Mytilus edulis: one gene and its partner. The protein of the gene in region 1 purifies or fractionates together with the protein of each later gene. This does not show direct contact. Links are inferred from orthologs where the notes say so. Each region holds a gene or a part of one and is shown on either strand. Other genes may lie near its edges.

Region 1 (8,145 bases):
CACCTTACCGCATCTGCTTATTGTTGTATTATTCTCGAATCAAAGAAAGATAAGCCTTTTTCATTAATGTTTCCAATCGCGATATTTTTTTACCGTTTCTTCGACGATTTTGCTTATTGTATAATTGAAATGTTAATACATGTTTTTTATGTAAAGTTTTATTTGAGTACTTCATTTTTTCGATTGGCTCTGTCTGTGTTCTCCAGAAACATACACATAAAACTAAAAATATATGTACAATGTAGGAATATATAAAATCTATTAATACGAGTTTTAGAAACAGGCTCGCCGAGCTTTTCTCTTGTTTCAAGAGAGAACAAAATAATTGTTTCGTAATCGATAATTTCAACATTTTCGTTCGATTTACACGGAAGTTGAATACTGCAAGAATGTATTTGTATAAATAAAAAACAAAAAGTAATTTAACCCAATTTATACAAAGTTGGTTAACTGCATGAGAAACAGGTTACTCTAATAAGGATATCACCGTCATGCCAAATCTAAGACCTTATTGAAATTGCTGAAAGTTGTTGATTTTTCTTGTGAGGTTGGTAATTGCAAAAATAAATGTTATCTTCAAATGTATCAGGAGATTAGACTTTTTCTATTTTCACTTCTAGTTTCTCGTGTAAAATTGAATATATCACATGTAAAAGAAATCATGATCATTCAAATCATAAATGCATTTTTAGTTTTACAATAACCACATAAATAATTACAAACTAAAAACAGTTTGGTCTGTTAGATAGTTGTCTCATTGGCATTCATACCACATCTCCTCATTTGGTAACAGTATCAGCAGACGTTATGCTCACATTTTATTAATTCTTTCTTTCTTCTTCATTTCTAGATATCTTTCAGTCAACAAGAGTCATGAAGATTTCTGTTTGTATTCTACTCTGTCTGATGTTAGCCTTCGTTGGAAGTAAGTTATTTTATATAGTTATCAAAGGTACCAGGATTATAATTTAGTACGCCAGACGCGCGTTTCGTCTACATAAGACTCATCAGTGACGCTCATATCAAAATATTTATAAAGCCAAACAATAACAAAGTTGAAGAGCATTGAGGATCCAAAATTCCAAAACGTTGTGCCAAATACGGCTAAGGTAATCTATGCCTGGGATAAGAAAATCCTTAGTTTTTCGAAATAGTGTGTTTTTCTTGTGATGTTAAACTATTGTTTCAGAAACGGGAGAAGGTTTATTACCATTAAAACTTTTAATCCCGCTGCAAATGTTTACACCTGTCAGGAATCTGATGTACAGTAGTTGTCGTTTATGTATAATTCATACGTGTTTCTCTTTTCTCGTTTTTTATCAGGATTAGACCGTTGGTTTTCCTGTTTGAATGGTTTTACATTACTAATTTTTGGGGCCCTTTATAGCTTGCTGTTCTGTGTGCGTCAAGGGTCCGTGTTGAATGCCGTACCTTTACCTATAATGGTTTACTTTTATAAATTGTTATTTGGATTGAGAGTTGTATCATTGGCACTCATACCACATCTTCCTATATCTATATACAAAAATTCAAACTCTGAAACATTGGTTATTGTCCTCCTTGCTACAATACGTTCGCTTTAACTTTAGCAAACAAATGTTACCGCTGGTTTGGAGTTTGACTAATTTCATATAACCAGGGTTGGTTTCTTTATCTCAATCTCAAAATAAGACTTAACGAGTTTCGTTTCTAATTGTAAATGTTGTCAGTAGATCTGATTTTTTGAATATTTTTTTAATTTGACATTTTTCTACCGAGACGTTATTGACTTTCTTGAAACGATGTCTTTGCAATGAATAAAATGGCGAATTTAGTTTTTGTGCGTTAAAATGCATGCTTGATTTCGTTACTTTATTTTTCATTCTTTTATATGCCCGATTCTGTTCAATTTTTGTCTTGAAAATTTACTATATCAGCATATAAACCATAAAGTGTTTTTCAATTGTAATATAATTGTATAAAAATCGTTATAACAATAACTCGTATGAAAATGTATTTCAATATAGTCACAAGTCATTATTTAAAAAAATATCTATTTAATCTTTTCAGCTAGCATCGCAAATGAAGAAACGCTTGCAAATCGTCTTTTAAGGTATGATATTTGATGATTAAATGAAAAGTTCGCTATAAAATATAACAATAACTATTTGACAAAGAGGCCGTGTATATTTTTTTACATTCTTATTGCATATCATTTTACGTTTGAATTATAGTATTAAATGGTATTTCATTAACAACCTGGTAATTACTCTATTATTTGCAACCGTACCACATCTCCAAATTTTCATAGCAGTAAAAAAAAATCATTTGGAATTTTAAAAACAGAGAGTCAAAAGAGGACAGCAATTATATCATAAAAAAACCTGACGTCCGATATAGCTTCTAGTTTCATTGTGATGTTGGTCGCTTTGTCATTGACGCATTTCGCCACATTGCTTTTTAATTGTACCTACTTGTTTGAAAATATACAAAAATATTCTTATTTGTAGCCGCGAGAGACGCCGCGCTCCTCCTCCATTCTGCCTCAGTTATGGACAAAGATGTCGATCTGCCTCGAAATGTTGTTCTTATAGATGTGTTTACGGATATTGCAAATAGTGAAAGACTTGCTGGATTTGGACATGATGAAATGGATGATTATTTGAACAGCATGTTCTTGAATTATACCAAGAATATTTTTTAATTATTTAATAAAATTGATTATACAATGTTAATTTTTCATTGAAAGTTTTGTCAGGTTTGTTTTGAAAGAAACAATCATTTTGGATAAAAAAGGAAATGTTGTTTTAGTTTCTTAACACTAAGTTACAAGCAGACACTTTAAATTGCATTTTTGCATTCTCACATCTAAATTCATGCAATCTTGTAGGTTTTTATGAAAATTGATATCATCAGATGATATCGGCAATGTCTTGGTGATTTAGAAAAATAATTATATAATATCAGTTACTTTTACAGGAGTTATGTCTCTCTGAAATTTAATTGATATTGAACATTGTATTGTGAGCATTCTCACAACCTCATTTCTTGTTGAATTTTTTTTTATGAGGCTGATATCAGCCAGGTTTTGTAAGAGTGCCTACAAACTATTTTATAGGAGTCACGGCCCTTGGAAATATAAATACATGGAAAATAACATTTTTTATCGATCAAATGCCTACATTTCTTGTAAGATATTTAATCACAGTTTGATGTCCTTCATTGGTTATTTCCTTTGGGCAGATAAAATATGTGCAACGAGGGAGACTTTGGAACTCATTTACTAGTATATCAAGAGAACACCTTTTATCACCTTCGCGTTTTCAAGCGGCGTTTTTCATTTGCGCCGATTTTTTCTTTCATTTGCATGCGCCGATTTTTATTTTCATTTGCGCAGATTTTTTTACAGGTAAATCACAGGTGAAAAGATATAAGAAGATGCGGTATGAGTGCCAATGAAACAACTCTCTATCCCAGTCATTTTATAGTTGTTTATTCTTTAGTTTTCTATGTTGTGTTATGTGTACTATTGTTTGTCTGTTTCATTTTTAGCCATGGCGTTGTCAGTTTATTGTCGATTTATGAGTTTGACTGTCACTCTGGAATCTTTAGTCCCTCTTTCATCTACCATTTATCAACCTCTTCCGTAAGCCAGTTGTATAAATGTAATGAATTGTCAATCATAACATGTATATAACTGTTGTCCTCTGCTCACTACGGGGAGGTTGAAATAGGGTTTCGAGCAAGATAAATCAATATAAAAGCTATATACAAATGTATTAACATACTTTAAAATCAAGAAGTAAAAACCTAAGATAAAAGCACTCTGTTAATGCTAAATTAAGGATTCAAATCCATTAAAACGGAATACATTTAAATCATATTTTTTTTCTTGTCGAGTGTGTATAGGCAACACATCTATGATATATTCCTATAATTGTCGCTAACGGGGTCCATCTTTTCTTTGTCTGACTAACGTACTGATGCGAGCATTTCTATAGAGTTCGCATTTTAACATACGTTACGGCCTTGGTTTTCTTGATAAAATCTGTAAAAACATATAAGTTGGGGTGCAGCTGCTCAGAAATGAGGTGGATAGCGTTACAGTGTGCATATATATGTACTTAGTCTGTATGCTAAGAATGTAAGACATTTGTCATCAGAAGGAGCGTCAGACATATTGTCAAACGTGAAGCAGTCATTGATTTCATTTGGGGGAAGGAATGGTAACCCGAAAAAATGGGATAGCCATTTACCAATGAAGGCTTAATTTGTCTTTATACTCTGTGCTCAGCCCATGTAAACGTATTTACTTACCTGTAACTTACCTGTAAATCCAATTAGAAGAACAAATAAAATCGGCGCAAATGAAAAAATGAAATCGGCGCAAATGAAAGAATCAGTGAAAATTTTCAAAATCGGCGCAAATGTCATACGCCCTTTTCAAGTCTATGAAAAAGAACAATTTATAGTGACACTAAGACGTAACTTTCTGCATACACCCCGTCATAGAATGGGCTTTAAATTAAATGATACTCTACCACACTCCTTGAAAATATTATGTCAAAAAACTCATTTATCTAATTGATTTTGTTAGATATCAAATATTAAAAAAAAATAGTTTTCTCTGTTTGCATTATAACGTATACCTACCCATAATTTCCTTGATTCCATGTTGAATTCATGAGTTCAGTTGTATACATAGCAGAGGGGTCTTAATTTCAACTTGAAAAGCCGTATATTTACTTCTCAAAGTGTTTACTATTTTCCTGGGAACAGTATATCTAACATAATATATATGTTCCTGCTATTTTCTTATAAATTATTTACAATGTTTATAACTTAATATACAGTGAGATAACTTTTTACCTATTATACTGACAAATTGAAAACATATTGTATAACATATGTCTGAGCACGCAGTCTGACATCGATGTCATCGATAATAAATATTAAAATCAACATTGATCAATTTAAATTTTCCCGCGCAATTATCTTTATGGGTCATTTTCCAGCATCTGTTTTACTTCCGGTTGCAGTGATTGGGGAAAACAAAATGTCGCTCGACAAACAAACTCCGGGACAAATACTTACATTTATCTTTGTAGACGATCCTATATAGCGTTAAAATGGGAAAACTAAAATGTTTTGAAATCATACTTGCGGGAAACAAATCTGTTTTCCACCCAGGCGAAAAAGTATGTGGGAAAGTCGTCGTCGATCTGAAGGGCGACATGAAAATGAGATCTCTGCGCATTTTTATGCGAGGGGTAGCAAAGGTACACTGGACTGAATCAAGAAGTACAGGCAGTCGTCTTGGTTCTTACACTGAACATTACAATGCAGAAGTGGAATATTTCTTTAAAAGACAAGTTCTGTTTGGAGGAGGTAATTTTCTTGTCGGTAAACATTAACACAAATGAACAGCTGATTAAACTATTTTCATAGACAGGTCAGGTCGTTGGTACCCCTACTATGGGCACTACCAGTGTAGAAATAGCTACATTTGTATATAAATGAGGCCTGACCAATAACTTGTATAGGCTCACTGAAACATTGCCTTGTTTGTCAAGATTCTCTGCATGTACAGTAGTTAAAAGTCTGCAAGAAAAAGGGTGGTCGGTAAAAGTGGTAACCCGAACCCGGACCCGAACCGGAATTTGCCGGAAATTTGCCAAACCGGAATTCTATTTTACATATATTATGATCTTTGCGTTTCGATTTTTTCTACTAACGTTTATGCATTTGATGTATAATTTAATTCTATCTCATGTATGAAAAGATTTTTGTCCAAACATCACTAACAAACAAAAATTTAAGGTTTATTAATTTCCACCTTGGTAAAAGTGGTAACCCGAACTCGGCAAGCTATTTTTCTTTATATCTCTGTAATATATGAATTCTTGAATGGACACTCAGACTTCGTTTGAAGTAAATCATCTTTTATATAAAAAACACAAAGATTTTTCCAAGCTGTATAAAACGTAACGATTTATTTCATTTCTAAGCGAATAGGTGGAAAACCGAACCCGAAAGGGAGACCACTCGGTTTTTTTAATAGTATATAAAAAAAAATCTCCGAATTTGATTCATTGCTGTTGTGCCGAAGTTTGCGTTAATTTATTCTAATTGATTCGAATATTATTCACCTCTTTGGTCTCCGGAAGATTTTTGTAAATATGATAAATATTTGTTGTTAAGTTGCTGTCTCATCAAAATGTACTCCAAATCAGATTTTATTGAAATATCATGGTATATTAAAAAGAGAAACGCATTTCAACGAGGTGAAATCAAATAAAAATAAATTCATATTTATATATATTCTCTTAGTAAAATAAATATGGTACAAACACATTAACGCGAACATACGTCGCCTTACTTAGTGAACTTCAAAAACGTCAAATTAGCGATGCTGTGACATATTGGTAGACCACCATGCGACCGCTTCATTTTGATGATTTTTAGATTTCTCTGCTTTACTTTATTAACATCAACATGTTCCTTTTACAAAGGAATTTGATTTTATAGTGATGTTTTTCAAAATACTTATGTTGTTTTTACTTTTTTTTTGAAGATTTAATAGTAACAACTTGTCCTTTTAATAATTGTAAGAAAAAATGAAAACGCTTACATTGTGACATTTTGGTAGACAACCTTTCGACGCATTGATATTCGATACTAATCGATAAAAATGTTTGATGTATTGCTTGACCCGTATGGGTGTAATTTTGCAATAAAGATTTTTTTATAAGAATGTTATTGTCTTCTCATTGGCAATTCTACCATATCCTCTTACTTGTATATTTATAATCTTCTGCGGTTTTTTTTGTTTGTTTTTTTTTAAATCGCAACGCTTGTTTGTAATTATCAGCGTGTGATTTATGCTTTGTAATCTCTTTGTGTTTTTTCCAAGTGTAAACTTTTTGAATGATGATCTGTATTATTCTTCGGTATTTCGTGTCTTATTTAAAGTATAACTAAGTTTGAAACTGAAATACAAAGCTTCTTTTCGTAGGTCAACCGCTAAATGGAGAAATTATCATTTCAAAAAATCGCGAAGATATATATGGGCAACTGTATAGACAGATATCTGTAACTGTAATAGACGTTTAGAGAAGGATATCTGTTGAGTTGCGTTGTTTCTGCTTCATTCATTATCTTCGATTTAATATTTCGAACCATCATTTTTTTCGGAAATAAAACTGTCCTAAATTTGTCAGAACATATTAAATCATCGAGATAAAAATATATGCCCACAAAGTTATAACATCATTAGCAAAATTCCACTGTTTATGATCTTCACACTAAATCCTTCGGATGTTGGATGTGTTATAAATAATAACTTAGTCTTAGATGCATGATTATTTATTAGTCTTTAATAGCTTTTAGCTAGCTTTCAGTACTTTACTCCCTGATCTGTATTTACTATTTAGTGTCTGTTTGTTTTCGAGATGTACAAGGACCCTTCCACGTTCACTTTGTGTAAAATTTATTTCTATTTGTATCCACCTGATGAGTTGAGCCTTTCAAACTGATTTTTTAGCCTGCTCTTATGTTGTACAGTTAACATGTTTAACATCGCCATATTCTGTATATGCCTAGGCCTAACCAAAATTATGAGCCTGCAATCCAGTGGATGTCGTTTGTTGCTGTTACATATTTGCCTATCGTTATTTATTTTTTGTGTACCTAAATAAGGCCATCAGTTGACTTGTTGAATTGTGCTACATTTGTCTTTCAGGGCTTAATTAATAGCGGTATGGACATAGCTCACTGTTAAAGACCGTACAGTAACCTATAAGTGTTAGTTTCGGTGTCATTTGGTCTCTTCTGAAGCAGTGGCGTAGAAAAAATTTTGAAAATCTTTTTATGCAGAAAATTATATATTTTTTTCGGACATTTTCTATTTGCACGTGTACTCCCCCAGAATCCGACACTTGTTAGATTTTTTATGTAATTTCAAAATACCCACCAGGGGCGGATCCAGGAATTTATTAGGGGGTGGTCACCTTTTGAAATCTTAAATTAAAATTCAATTTTTTTATTGGTATCATGAAAATAGTTACAACTATAGAATATATATTTCCAACATAATTTTATTGTTTTCTCAAAACTACCATCATTCAATTCATAAACATGATAAATATTTGATTTAAAAGTTTCCAC
Region 2 (6,616 bases), about 23 Mb from region 1:
GACAACAACAAAATGATATTCATAGTTCATGTTTCTTTTTGTGAAAAAATACACATGCACAACGAACTTAGATATTTTAAATTGTACGTATAGCAGTTATGGACTTATGATACAGTCTTATTAAATATAACAGTACATAGAAAGCTTGAAAATGATCTAAATACAGACGGTCAAGACATGTTATTGTAGAGTCTTTAGTCGGAAAACGATTAATGTTGAAAATTCTACCCCTTTCGGAAGAGGTTTGTTGAAGTATCCTGCATGTCCATCTTTGAAACCAAATAATGTGTTTGTTGATGAATAACAACAGCAAGTATTATCATCTAGAAGAGATATGTAAATGCTGTTTTGTTTTCGTAATATGAATTGTTTTCACACTGGATATAGTTTCTAATAAAGATGTATATATTTCTGGATTTAGGATATCGAAAAAAAAAGCTTATACAGTCTATATACACTTTTAGTTCAAAAACGTTTTCTAATGTACCTGAAACAATTATGTATTGTATATCAATACTTATCAACGATAAAATACTAGCAACTGTAGACATATATATTATGAAGACTTTATTTTGTCACATGAAGTTTGATTGTATTTAGACCATATTCTGTTCTGACATTTTACATGAAATGCCTACACTGAAGTTGGTCCACCATTGCCATTAAGATAAACCAAGGGAACGTTAGCAGTGTCTTTCGTATCACCGGAAGAACAATGATTAAAATTATACGAATCAAATTGAGACTTCATTTTTAACAGTCTTTTAAAAGCTTGCCTAAATTCTCGATTATAATAAGCATATATAATTGGATTCAAGCACGAATTAGAATATCCTATCCAAAATAGAATTTTTCCTAGTATTGGTGGGTATGGACAAAAGTTTTTACACATACTTGTAATTAAATACCATGAGAAAAACGGGAAAAAGCATAAAATGAAAACGCCCATTATTATTCCAAGCGTTTTTGCAGCTTTATGCTCCCTTTTCATAGTCTTCCGATCAGAAATATCACGAGCGTTTCTACCTGGATATAAGGCATTTGATTTGTTTGAGCAAACACTAGCTGACCGGATATGTTTTTCTTGCTTTCTGGCTTCAATAAAAATCCTTATGTAAACAAACACCATTATAGTACATGGTATCCAAAATGAAACACTGGACGATATTATAGCATATAAACGATTCACAACAAAAGTGCAAGCATTCGGATTATTTTTCAACACAAGTGCGTTTTCGTGTGTTGTATAGAGTTGCGAATGAATTGGTATATATGAAATCAAGAGTGAAGCTATCCATGTAACGGCAATCATTGACAAAGCACGGAATTTCGTCATTTTTCTCTCATATTTTAAAGGTTTCATGATAGCTATATAGCGATCCATACTTATGCAACATATATGTAAAATTGAACTTGTACTGAATAATACGTCATTCGAATTAAATATGTCACACATAAATGACCCAAATATCCATTTATCACTAATTTCCATACTGGCATTGAATGGCATTACTAGAACGGCAACTAAAATATCAGCAAAGGCCAAAGATACGATGAAGTAATTTGTCACACGTGACCTAAGACGTTCGAATTTAACAACACTTCCAATTACTAATAGGTTCCCTGCTACAGCAGTGCACATGATAAGTGTCATGACTGTTGATTTTATCACCAATAAAAACACATGTAAAGATGTATGTGTTGTTTCATTAACTACAAAACTGTTATTTGTTGCGTTGTCATGTAATCTCAGCATCATCTCTGGCGATTGCAGTGACATCTGTGATTTTAACATCGTTCATTTCCAAACAGCATGAAATCATAAAAGACAAACCAACAAAGGATAATCTAAAACGTCATGCCTTTACAGTGCTTCACGTTTCTTTCTTCAATATCCCAATTACATAATCTGAAGTGAGAACAAAAGTACAATAAATATAAAAAGACAAGTAAATACATTTGTAAGAAGAAGTTTCGAATAGATTGATAAATGTAAAAGCTAAATATGCGTATGATGTTTAAGCAATAGGTTAAAAAATCATAATCAAACAAACAACTGTAATAACATTAACGGTACCAATTTTCCTGCACCAGATGCGCGTTTCGACAATACATGTCTCTTCAGTGATGCTCGTGGCCAAATATTTGTAATCCAAAGCTTATATAAAAGATCAAAAGCTATAATCCAAAAGGTCCAAAAAGTAATATAGCAATTTACCTCTTTGCTGATCTGTAACATCATGAGTGATGAAAATAAACATTAAAGATGTCTTGTTTAGTAAGGGTTTCCTATTTTTAAAATAAATGTCCAGCATAAAGTGAAAGGTGTTTAATTTATGAGAATCGCGCTCAACACAATAAACAAAACAAAACTTAAGAAAATTTAACTTCGCTAAAGAACGATGAACTACTTCGATCCCAAAATAGCAACTTTTACAAAGCATGATCATTATCAGTTAAACAAACAAAAACTATCGAATGGCGAACGATACAGTACTCCTACACTGTTTGTCAAAGCATGTGTTATTGTCAACATGTCTGTCATATTAACTCTTAAGCAGGAGGATAACACCAACCAATTAGTTCTAACAATAACTGATTAATATAATGTAATCCAATTAAGTTATAAAATTGTATCTTCTTATACGTCATATCTAAATTACTCTACCTAAATTGCATCTCCATGTTGCTTTTGACTAAATATAGAAATATTTTTTTTTAGAAAGAGGAAGAAAACAATTTGCAGGATATTTTTTAGTACAATACTGTATCTTGCTGATACTAGCCTTTTATGAAATGAATAAACTGATTAGTTACTTATCTCTTTAGCTGATAAAATAATGTATAAGATGCATCAATTGAATATTTAACATGATTTATTTTTTTGATCTAATAACTTATGTCTCTTTCTTCAGATTTCGATTCCATTATCTGACCTGCAATTCTGTATATGTAAAGATGAAAGGACTTATTGGGTCTACCTACAGACATGCAAAGTGTTTCTTTCTTGAGTTACATGTTAAAATTCATAATCAAATAAATTTAAATCTAAAACGGTCTTTTTAATCTGAACATATACAAATGGACTGAACAATAAATTGTTGTGTAATTTTAAGTCTATCAGTCGATTATCAAACTTATACACTGTGGCCAAATTCGTTATTATTTACCTGTAAATATCAATATTATACTGACTTGTTTAAAAAGCAATTGAACAGTGCTCAGTTGACTGCAAGCTAAATGTCTGAACAGTACTGAATTTACCACAGTGGACACGTCCGAAAATTGACTAAAAAACTAAACATGACTTCATATCATTGATCCAACTTTTCAAATAATGTTATGATGAAAATGACCTTTTCAAACGAATAATCTTTCACAGTATTTGAAATGTGATTTAGAATAATTGATGTACGAGGACTGACAAAATTAACACAACCATTATCATAATGTTTGAAATTCGTACAAAGTATTCTGAACAACATTAGGTTCGTTCCTAAGTGGTACTTTTATCAATGTGAATGTGCATCCATAATACTAACTTTATAACTTAAAAATATTTTTTTAGAAAGTTTTCATTCTGTGTGTTGTTAATATCAAAAGCATTCCGTAAATTAATGCAGACCTGAAGATTATTAGTGTGTCAAGAAAGACTCTTTGAAATAAAAATAATGTTTCACTTTCAAGAAAACATATTTCTTTTCACTTGTTTTGTTTGCTTTGTGGTCATCTTAATATTTCAACAATAGGAAAATTAGCAGTGTTATGGTTAATAAATTTTATATCTAAATGTTTTAAAATAAACTTAGTATCGAATTCATAACAGTGTGGCTATGGACATTGATTGGCGCACTTTAAACTGGGACAGATTAGGTGAACGATCGTCTATAACGCCCATTGCTCACGACGTCCTTAATATAAACATTTAAACCGTGGGGTCACCAAAGGTTCTCAACGCCTATATAAAATAATTCGAAATACTAATCAGGAATTTGTGTTTTGATTTATATTGATTAATTAAACGTCCTTTACTTGTGTTTTTGTTATGTTTCGACAATCAATTTTCATAATAAGATATCGCAAAGCCATGTTCTTTCAGAAAAAAAAATGACTTACTGAATGCATGTATTGATTGATTATCTTTTTCGGATTTAACAATTTCGATTGTCGAGTTATGTAATCTTTTAACTTTTATCTGGTCTAATTTTATTTTAGAACGAATGCATAATCCACTTTCAAAAGTTGTGCAAATACGAAACATAAAGACAAAATATACTTCTGCCCTGTCTTTTTCGTACTTGAAAGTTATTGGATAATAAGAAAGCTATTTGGATTAAACCTTGTGAAATTTGCATGCATTTACGTTATTGTATTGGCAAAATGTATCATTTGGTGTATATAGGAAACTTAAACCGTTCTGCTATACTGCTACTATACTTGTGAAAAACACTTGGCAACAGAAACGCATTCATCTTATCTATATAAAAAAAATCGACCCAATTTACATAGAAATGGACGTCTTCGTGCATTTGTGATCGCAAATAAAATATGTTCCGGACCTTATGAGTATTTGGACCTTACGTGTATGGTTGGACCATATTAGTATACCCTTATGGTCATGATATATGCGTATGGTCCAAATACTCATTTGGTCCGGAACACATACATGATATTCTGTGCGTTGTCGGTCGTCTATTAATTTTTTTCTTTTGTTGATGGATTTGACGTCTTTCTGTGAGTGATTATTTGTTCATGACTTAAAACTTACTTGCAAATAATTTAAAAACAAGACTTGATTTATAAAAATGTCCAAACAAACCATGATTTTTTTTTAAACATACATCACATCCATTGCAAAAGGCTAAAATTCGCCAGGTCTTTAATTTCAACTAAGTGAGTTGACTAAATTAATGTTGCGGACCATTTTCCAATTTCCATGCGGTATCCCTATTTTTTTTTCTCGCTCATCTTTTATGTTTGTTTTTTTCATCCCAAGACCTCTTTCATTCTATAAAGTGTGTATTTTGCTAATGGTCGACGGCCATACGGGGACCTATAGCTTGATAACGCCTGTTGGTCCCTGGAAAGAATGTGTCTGATTGTCTATCACACTTCATATTCTTATTTTAACATGCAGTTATATCTATGATAAGAATGAAAATTGAATTGTCATTGAGACAAAAACCCAACCAAAGAGCAAAAAAAAAAGAAAAAAAAAAAGCCCAAGGCAACATGTAGATCTTTCGTATCAAGGGAATTGCTATAAATATATTTATTTCAGGTTAATAGTATTAGGCCATACTCAAGTTATAAAATAGATCTTGTCGTCAACTTTTGCAACCAGCTTCTATGTTTATATAATGCACTGTTCATCTTTTTTGGGCTTCGACTTTTCAATTGGACAGACAATTTTGTTTTCGACTGTTTTAAAAAGATGCATTTTTTTACAAAATCATACAAGTAAGGAGTCTCTGGCCTTTGGTAGTGTTGTATGTTAATTAATGTTTGTTTATTTATTTGTTTAGGAAATAAGTATGACGTACATTTTCACTGAACTAGGACACTTTTTATAATAGTTTTTCGATATCGCTCGGGCAAAAATAATCACGAATATAATGCCTACCCATGCATTGAAAAAAACGGGTATAAACTACACAGTGCAGCTTCCAACAAGAATACAAGATTTATTGATTTTCAAAATGCGACCAAAATTAAAAATTTCCTCGCAGCGGAAAAAATTCAACAGTTTGATTTCATTGAAATAAAATAATTGTTATGATTTACACACCGTTACTTTTTCCAATACATGTATAGATATTCGAACTATTTTGTTTGTTGTTTCCTTATAAATTTACATCATTTTTAAAAAGACCACGCGTCTTCGATATTTAGAAGACTATAAAAGCGATGTTCATTAAATTTCTTCTGCTGTAAGTTTAATTTAGTTATTTTGTGTCATAATTGCCATCTCGTATGTTTTAAATTTGAATAAAGAAGATTCAGGTTGTCTTATACGTCAATGATACACACAAAAAAACACGATAACAAATAAAATAAGGTGCAACATTCGTTCTCCATGAAAAGAATACATCACATGGATGTAATTTTTGTAAGAAAAATACCAATTTCGTGAGAAGTTGTGTGTTGGACTTGAAGAGCCAAGGCAAACTGACAAATATCTGAATGAACGAATCGATTTATGGTATATAAAAAAAAAACAAAGCCCACATGGTTAGCATTGAATAAATACAAGGCCACTCTTAAATGACCACAACGTAGAAGTTTTTGTTCTCTTAATCAATAAGATATTTTCTGAAATAACGCGGGTCCCTATTAACTTAAAAGTTTTTTTGGTTTTTTTTACCATGAATAAACTTTTTTTATTATTATTATTTATTGATATCAGCTCTGGACATTAATATTCTTAAAAGTTAAACTGTTGTAAGTGATGTTATAACAATTATTTAAAATAAATTCCTTAAATGATTTGTGAAAAGAAAGTTTCATTTTATGTATCAGAATTTGTAACAAATGATTATTTAAATCCCCACTTGAAGGCCTCCGATAGACTGAGTGAGCATAAAATCATCGCCCACGACAAACAAGTTAAAGGTAA

The links. The genes of interacting proteins can lie anywhere in the genome.
Region 2: the proteins of arrestin domain-containing protein 3-like (region 1) and octopamine receptor beta-2R-like purify together in Homo sapiens (affinity purification with western blotting; 6 studies listed by BioGRID and IntAct, with this or other methods). This does not show direct contact. The link is inferred for Mytilus edulis from reciprocal best matches to the Homo sapiens genes ARRDC3 and ADRB2.

Annotation. Positions count from the first base shown.
Region 1 is NC_092347.1:60,067,502-60,075,646, forward strand, and holds the start of arrestin domain-containing protein 3-like, read left to right. Parts: upstream 1-5,000; 5' UTR 5,001-5,108; coding exon 5,109-5,367; intron 5,368-8,145. Other genes in the region: uncharacterized protein, read left to right, coding at 851-925, 2,490-2,683. UniProt on the Homo sapiens protein: Adapter protein that plays a role in regulating cell-surface expression of adrenergic receptors and probably also other G protein-coupled receptors.
Region 2 is NC_092347.1:83,093,987-83,100,602, reverse strand, and holds octopamine receptor beta-2R-like, read right to left. Parts: upstream 1,906-6,616; 5' UTR 1,796-1,905; coding exon 635-1,795; 3' UTR 510-634; downstream 1-509. UniProt on the Homo sapiens protein: Beta-adrenergic receptors mediate the catecholamine-induced activation of adenylate cyclase through the action of G proteins. The beta-2-adrenergic receptor binds epinephrine with an approximately 30-fold greater affinity than it does norepinephrine.